Linked DNA regions of Canis lupus familiaris. The protein of the gene in region 1 purifies or fractionates together with the protein of each later gene. This does not show direct contact. Links are inferred from orthologs where the notes say so. Each region holds a gene or a part of one and is shown on either strand. Other genes may lie near its edges. The genes, in order: PPP6R2 and AURKA.

Evidence for each region.
Region 2: the proteins of PPP6R2 (region 1) and AURKA purify together in Homo sapiens (affinity purification with mass spectrometry; 4 studies listed by BioGRID and IntAct, counting the BioPlex papers as one, with this or other methods). This does not show direct contact. The link is inferred for Canis lupus familiaris from reciprocal best matches to the Homo sapiens genes PPP6R2 and AURKA.

Annotation. Positions count from the first base shown.
Region 1 is NC_049231.1:17,765,575-17,769,377, forward strand, and holds part of PPP6R2 (serine/threonine-protein phosphatase 6 regulatory subunit 2), read right to left. Parts: intron 3,267-3,803; exon of another isoform or gene 2,805-3,266; coding exon 2,692-2,804; exon of another isoform or gene 2,688-2,691; intron 2,311-2,687; coding exon 2,197-2,310; intron 894-2,196; coding exon 767-893; intron 1-766. UniProt on the Homo sapiens protein: Regulatory subunit of protein phosphatase 6 (PP6). May function as a scaffolding PP6 subunit. Involved in the PP6-mediated dephosphorylation of NFKBIE opposing its degradation in response to TNF-alpha.
Region 2 is NC_049245.1:42,346,431-42,351,027, forward strand, and holds the start of AURKA (aurora kinase A), read right to left. Parts: upstream 2,975-4,597; 5' UTR 2,928-2,974; coding exon 2,903-2,927; intron 1,916-2,902; coding exon 1,869-1,915; intron 1-1,868. UniProt on the Homo sapiens protein: Mitotic serine/threonine kinase that contributes to the regulation of cell cycle progression.

The DNA.
Region 1 (3,803 bases):
ACTGCCCCCAGAAGCCCAGAACTCTCTGGTATCAGCAAATCAAGCAAAGAGATATGCACCTCAGCTCATGAGATGTGTCCAAGGTGGGGCCAGCTCTCTGGGGGACACAGTCTCATCAGGACACTGAGCTAACCCTGCAAACGCGCTCAGAGGAGATGGCTAACAGCAGCCTTGTCACACTGAACACAGGTCTTTCCTGACCCCACGCATGCAGCATGACGTGTCTACCTTCTCATTAACCAAATGTTCCAGAATCCCTACATTCATGAAGCTCACTTTCTAGTGGGAGAGGCAGATGATAACTTGATAAATAAAATAAGCTGTGCAGGAGAGCATGGTGGGTGCTGAGACGCACCCAGGAAAGGGGAAGGGGCTCCATGGTGAGCGAGGTGGCAGGCGGCTAAGTGACTGAGCCCTTCTCTACCTGAGCCGCATGCTGCCTGGAGCTCCTGAGCTGGGCAAAGGCCAACTCTGTGCCCTACCTGACTCCAGGCCCCATGGCCCCTGACTTGAAGGCCAGACCCACAGTTAACGTAGGTTCTCAGATGACCCCTATTTCAGAGCACAAGAGTCATCTGGGAGGGGGGTGCAAAATGTCCACACCCTAGGACTTACCCCAGAGCAGAGATGGACACTGAGCAGATAAAGGTGTGAAAACATGCTCCTGGCACCTGCTTGGTGGTTCTCAAGCAGGGTGCAGGGTCCTCTGCTTGCAAATCATCCCACCCACAACACCCGCACAGGCACCTACCAGAAGTTCACCTACCTTTGGCGGGCTGAGCAGAAGCTGGTGGAAGTCCTTCAGTCGTGGCTCAATGCCATGCAGTACGCTGCTGCTGACGGTACACAGCCCTTCCAGTCCCTGAGAAAAGGAGTCCACCAAGCCCTCTGTCCTGTGGACGAGGACAGCAGATGGAGACACAGGGGACACACCCCCATCCTGTTTCACCCTCCCCCCCGACTTCTCTGCTCATGGTACAGAGAAGAAAAAGGCAACACTGGCCTTTAGAAAACATTCCCAGGTGACGGCCAAGGGCAGCCCCCTCATCCCCACCAGGCAGGCGGCCCCTCGTGCTCACTGGAACCATCTCTGTCCCCCTCTCCCCGTTCTGGAAACATTCACCATGGTTCCCACTCCTTGGCTGAGAAACAGGAGACAGGACGCCACACTGTCCCTCTGGCTTCTTAAAACTAATTTCTCTGAGACATTCATATAAACTTTTTTCAGTTATAGAAAAGAGAATCAGCTGGCTCACCCGTGGTTTTGGTGGGTTTTTAAAAAAATATATTTATTTTCGAGAGAACCATAAGTGGGGGGAGGCACACCAGGGCAGGATGGGGAATCCGAACAGACTCCCCACTGGGTGTCCGCACCCCCAAAATGGACTCAACCCCAGGACCCCAGGTCATGACCTGAGCCGAAACCAAGAGGTGCTTAGCTGACAGAGCGCCCCAGGCATCCCAATCTCTGCTTTTATGGGTCATTTTCACGCTGTCCGTTCATCTCAGCCAAGGCTGGGAAAGGCCCGCAGAGGAGCCCCCACATCCCCTAGAACAGGCCCAGGCTTCCTGAGTTCACGAAGACAAGAACGGTCAACATTCTGGTGGCCTGACCAGAGTAAACAATGACAGCAGTATCATTCTAGTTTTAGGGAATAAACTAACGGCTGCGTACTGGTTCCCAGAGAGCGCGAGAATGAGAAACTGCTTCTAATCTCACTACCAACATTAACTCAACGTCTTGTCATTTTGTTCTTTTGTTGTTGCTGCGGTTTACATCCAGTTAATCCGCGCTGGGGCTTCAGTGAGGCTCCCTCCAGAACAAGGAAATAAGAGAACTAGTCACCCCAGGAGACAGGTCACCACAGCACACGACGGGACGAGCAGAGATGCACGCGCACACACGTGCACACCCGGCACCCCACACCCCTCCCCACATGCTGGAACTGGCCACACCTGTTCCACACACACACACACACACACACACACACACACACACACACACACACATACACACACACGCAGGAATACTTGGGAAGCTGCTGACACTGGTGCCTTCAGACCGAGGCGGGAACACCTTGGATACCCAAGGTCAGAGAGGCTGCGGATTTACTTTTCAATGAGGAGTCTACCCGTGTGATTATTTACATAACAAGTAGTGAAACATGCCACGCAGCCAGGCCCCCCATCACTCACCCAGCCCGTCTGGTCTCCAACAAGGTAAGTAACACCTGAGTCCCACTAACGAGGCAGATCTCAGTCTGGTCTCCATCAAACATGTTCTTCAGAAGCTGCTCCACGCAGTCCTGCCTGTCAGACACACGCAGAGCTCACTGCTGCTGGAGCAGATGCACAGCCCCACATCCAAAGGACCAGCTCTCCTCCCCAAGGAGTAACCCCCCTAAACCCAGAGGGGGCTTTGCTCGGGCTCCAGACCAGGCACCCAGGGTTCTCAGGACATTCCTGCCCCTACTGGCCTAGAGTCACTGGACCTGCCTGGAGAGCCCTCCCAGGAGACACAAGTCTATCCAGTGAGCCAGACGGGCTATGTCACAGCCAGCTCATCAGAATCTGAATCAGAGGCAGCAGCAGCATCTGCTGGTGCTCCAGGCAGGGCCTGGGGACTGCCTAGTGACTCAGAAAGACCCCGCACCCACCCAGCCAGGCACCCATAATGCAGCCAGCACTCACGACTCCAGCACTGCGAGGAGGGGGTCGGGCTCTGGAGCCTCCTGCAGCTGACTGCCCTGCTCTCTGCCCAGCCTGATGATGTCACAGAGGGTTTGAGAGGCATTGGACTGTCTCTGGAAGGAAAAGGAGATGCAGTACTCTCCTCAGCGCTGAGAAAGGTCAGCAGAGCTGCCCCGCTCGCTGCTCAGTTCTCAGGACGCTGGACTCTGAACCGGTCCGTCTCAGAAATGCCTGGTGGGCCTTTCTGATGTCAGAATGCAAATCTAATCAGACCTTTTGCTGTACTGACCGATCCCCAAGAGACCAAATGGGGCTCTCTTAAGGGTTAAATACACTACACAGACATTGCTCCACCCCTGGAACCACTGTAAGATACACTGTATATATGACCTCGTTACTGATACTGTATTTCAAATTCATACTTTAAATATTAAAACCTAGCTGGTAACATTCAGGAGAAGTCCTACAAGCTAATGGAAAAAGGCAGGTGCCACAGAGAAAACAGGAGGCCTCGACTCTTCTGGGCAACACTAATCCTTAGCCGGTGAAGACTGGATGGTGCCCTTGCAACACTGGTGAGTTTAGCAATGCAGATAACTGACTAGAGAGAAACTCGGCCCTGGCTCCTCGCCGGGAGCCTCAGAACACACGGCACTGATGTGCGTCGTGGGGGCTCTAGGCTAAAGGAAGTACATGCAGGACTATTTTAGGGAGAAATGAAAAGCAGCCAGGTGGTCCCTGTGGTCTCACCCCTGCCTCTAGCCTGGGAGCAGGCCAGTCAGCCCCCAGCACTCACACAGCTGGAGGGGCACCCCCTGGTCTGGAGCATAGGCCCCCTCGCCCAGCTGTCCAACAGGCACACAGGAACAGAAAACAGTGTGGCCGGGACACAGAGAGGGCTCACACATGAGTTGGCATCACTGTTCTCAAACTGCTGAGGGCAGGAACGTATGTTGGCTTTTATCAGGCACAGAAAGGCCTATCAGGATATACTCCAAACTCTCAACAGTGATTCCTGCAGGGAGTGGGCAGGGGGCCAAGACAGGAAGCCCCACTGCCATCCCACATGCTTCCACACTGGCAATGGGGGCCTTCCTCCCAGAGCTCACACC
Region 2 (4,597 bases), on another chromosome or scaffold:
CTTCCTCCAACTACAATGGAGGAAATCTCCTCATAAACACGGAAACAATGCTAGGAAGGGAAGCCTCAGAGTTCATCACAAGCTCACTAGGTATGGGTGCTTCACAAGAGACAGGTATCCAACTTCCAAGTAAAAGTCAGTTACTTCTGAAATTAGTGACATCCACAGGCAGCGACAAATGTTTTAAACAGAGCAGCTTTTAAAAATGATCTTTATCATAGGAATTGAGAATCAGATACAATGACTCAAGTTAGCCTTTTTCTAATTGGTTATTGACTTTTAGCCAGTAAAAAAAAAAAAAAAAAGTTAAGGTATCCATTTACTTGAAAAACTTCTCACACCTATCAGAATGGCTAACACCAAAAACACAAGGAACAAGTTGTTGATGAAGACTTGGGGGAAAAGGAACCCTTGCACACTACTGGTGGGAATACAAACCAGTGCAGGTGAAGCAGTATGGAGGCTCCTGAAAAAGTCAAAAATAGGGGAGCCTGGGTGGCTCCATAGGTTGGACATCTGACTCATGGTTTTGGCTGGGGTCGTGATCTCAGGAGGTCGTGAGATAGAGCCCAAGGTCAGGCTCAGCACCGAGTTTAGAACCTCCTTAACATTCTCTCCCTCTCCCTCTGCCACAGCCGCCGCCCCTCCACACACACACCCCACTCATGCATGCTCTCTCAAACAAACAAACAAACAAAAAAAAAAAAAAAGAAAAGGAAAACTTTTAGGGACGCCTGGGTGGCTTAGTGGCTGAGCATCTGCCTTTGGCTCAGGTCATGATCCTGGGGTCCTGGGGTCCTGGGATCAAGTCCCACATCAGGTTCCCTGCAAGGAGCCTGAGCCTGCTTCTCCCTCTGCCTGTGTCTCTGCTTTTCTCTGTGTCTCTCATGAATAAATAAATAAAACCTTAAAAAAAAAAAAAAAAAGTAAAGGAAAACTTCTAAAAACAACACATACATACAAAACAAGAAACAAGATTTGTATGTTTATGCTCTTTTCCTAGAAGGAAAAAAAAATCTGGGGAATATTTATATTAAAGGATCTTTATATAAAGACTCATTTAAATTCTAAGAGCCAGAGGTACTTCCTTGATGAAGCCTTTCTAGATTCCAACCTATCCCAATCTGAACATCCCTCTGCAGAATTACTCAGGTCATTTCATATACACATATTTTATGAAAGTGTGATACCAGCTCACATAACCCACCAAAGAGCTAATAAGCTCTTGGAAGTCAAAGACCATGTGCTTTTTTATCATTATAACCCCTGCATCTGACACAACCTGGCTCAAAGTGGGTTCCCAAGAAATGTTCACTAAAATGCAGCTTGACAGTCCTCTGAATCATGACCAGAACAGACTATTACAAAGCAATTTAACTTCTGGCAAGCAAGTAAGCACAAGCAAGTATTAGGCACCCATTGTGTACATTATCCCGCACACAATGGAGGAATATAGATACTTAAACAGCTAGCTAGAAGACAAAGCAGAACAAAATAATAGTTACAGTGACAATCAACAAAATGTCACTGAATGCAGAGAAAAAGTGACAGACATCCAGGAATGTAGTAGAGTTCTGAAGTTAAAATCCAAAGTAAAGGTAAAACGAAGTCCAGATATAAAAACCAATCTCCACTGGGTTTTATAAATGTGATCAAGATTACAGATTGGGACGCCTAGATGACTCAGCAGTTGTGCATCTGCCCTTGGCTCAGGGCATGATCCTGGAGTTCCAGGATCAAGTCCCACACCAGGCTCCCTGCATGGAGCCTGCTTCTCCCTCCACCTTTGTCTCTGCCTCTCTGCCTGTGTTTCTCATGAATAAAATCTTAAAAAAAAAAAAAAAAAAATTTAAGATTATTCAACTTACCTTAACAGGCCCTGCAATGCAGTTTTCTTTAGATTTGTCCATAATGCCTGAAAAGAAAAGAGCCACCTTTAATTTATACAAATCCCTGTGCTTCAAAGTGCTACTATGCTAGATCAGGGTTATAGCTCCTGATGAAAAAGCCTCAACAACACAGAATTTCACACTTTTTCTTTGTCCAAATGAAGCTGGCAAGGGAGCCTTGCTTTCTCGGGTAACCTAAGGGACAGGTGTGGGGCCTCCCTCACCCCCCAACTTCACTCCCTGAGACCACCTGCTCCACCACCCCCTCTCTAGGGGATTAATTCCAACAGTGCAGGAGCCTGCTTCCAGCCCTGCTCCCTTTTAAAAAAAAAAGCAGCTTCTCTCTTCCCCATAACATACTCTAGATAGAACAGCATCTTTCCTCTCACTCTTCAACAGCAAAGCTCCAGAACAGTCATTACACTCCCTGCATCCACCATTTCTCTGGCTCTTCGCCCTCCCCCATCAGGATTTTGTCCCTACGGAGGAGTCAGCTCACGACTGACCTCTAATGTTAGCAAATTCAAAGGTCCAATCAGCACCCTGGGCTCCCTGGTGTCCCCAGCAGCATTTGACAGCGTCACTCTTTTTTCTACTCCCAGCCTCTGCTGGCTTGGAGGGTGGTCCCTGACCTTACCAGCTGTCCTGCTGTGACCTCCTTTGCTCCATCAGTCTGACTTTTGCCAACCTGAGAGTCTAGGGTAACCCATGAATGAGTCCTTGGACCCCACTTTCCATCCATTCCCTTCCTAGGGTCCCCCATCCAGAACCAGGGCTCTAAACATCTTTAAGATGACTTGAATTTACATCTTCTACCCTAACCTGTCCTGACTACCAGACTATTACCTACCTCCTGTTCATTATCCCCCACATCCAGACAGCTCTTTTCTCCTCCCGGCTTCTCTTCCCCTCTGCTCTCAGGAGCAGCCTGAGCTCAGGCCTAGAAACACTTCTACTGCTATACTCATTCCCTATTAAACTCATCCAGTCTCCTGGCTCTCAATAGCACTCACAAGCTGAGGACCTCCAAACTTCCATCTTCAGCCCAGACTTCTCCCCTGAACTCCTATCACCTATGAAACATCACCACCTGTAACCAGAGAGGCATCTCAAGTTTAAAATGTCTCAAATGAAATTCCTGCTCCCTCCCTACTCTATCTCCCCAACCCCGTTTTCACAGATGTCCCCATCTCAGTTACTGGCAAACCCATCTTGCCAGTTGCTTGGGTTAACTGATCTTTTACATGATTCTCCCTCAAACCCCATACCTAATCCATCAGCATATTTTGTAGGCTCTACCTTCAAAATCACTGCTCAAGACATTTAATACCACCACCTGATTAAATCAATGCTCTCTCCCCTCATTTCTTTGCCACAGGCTCCCGATGGTCACTCTGCTTCCACCCTTACCCCATGATGGTCCATTTGCAACACTGCACCCAGTGATCCCATTAACAAGTCAGCTAGGCCGGCCCTTAGTTCACAAGCCAAGCCCCTCCTGGTCCCTCAACTCCAATTCAAATTCAACTTGCACAGACAGACCTACAGTCTCTGACCACCTATTGGACTGATCTCCTCTTGCGTTCTGCACACCAGCCATACAGGGCTTCTTTCTTTCCTCAAAGCAGTGCACTGCCTCAGGGCCTTTGTACTTCCTGTTCTCTCTACCCATTTGGCACTTCTCTCAAATACAAGTGTGGCTTGCTCCCCATGACATTCAGGTCTCTCCTCAGATGGCTCTCTAACCATCTCGTTTTTATTTTTCTGCATAGCCCTTACTTAACACCTTACATGACGTTACTTGTACTCGCTTACTTCTGCCTCCCAGCTCCCTAATCAGTATCTCCAAGGAAAGTAAGCTCCATGAGAGCAAGGGCTTAGACTCATTTTGTTTACTGTTGCCCCCTGCCAGAACTTGTCTGGCACATAGTATTTACACCAATGTTTGGGGGAATGAGTTAATCCGTTAAGAAAGCATATTAATAATGAAAATAGTTAACACTTGCTAAGCCCATACTGTGAGTCAGGCACAGTCTAGTAAATCAGAAGAACATAAACTCCAAGAAAGCAGAAACCTTTCTGTATTTTTCCTACCCAGGTGCTCTCCGAATTCTAGAATCCAATCAGAAAGTGCCTCCCATCCCCACGCTTTCACATCCACTTCACAAATAAGCAAAAAACTTCACCTTGAAGATGGAACCACAGCTAAAGAGAGAGGAGTCCTTATGTCCAACAGCAGGTTAGGAGAAACAGGAAGGAGAAAGGAGTTATAAGCTTGTGTTATGCAAACATTAATTTCACACACGCTCTAAGGCTTTCTTCACTTTCCCCAACAACCACAGGCAGCAGACCAATGAGATCACACAGGCCTAACATTTATTCAATCGTCTTCAACAGAAGCTAGATACTTGTTCCAATTGAATATACTTTTCCTTCTCAGAGAGATGAATAATAATAAACAGAATGAAATAAGATGATTCTGATCCAGAGATTCTGGAGAGAGCCCCAGGAAAACTGCCTTTCTAGTGATTCCAGTCCACAGCGAGATTCAGGAGTCCCATGACCCCATGACCCTCACAAGATCCCTGCGGCTCAAACCACATGTCCTACTACTCTGAACAGGAGATGTGCTAAGATTGTATAGCTCTGCACATTTAGACTTTTTCTCCATCAAAACTGCTTAGTGTCTGCACGGACTCAGAGGAGGG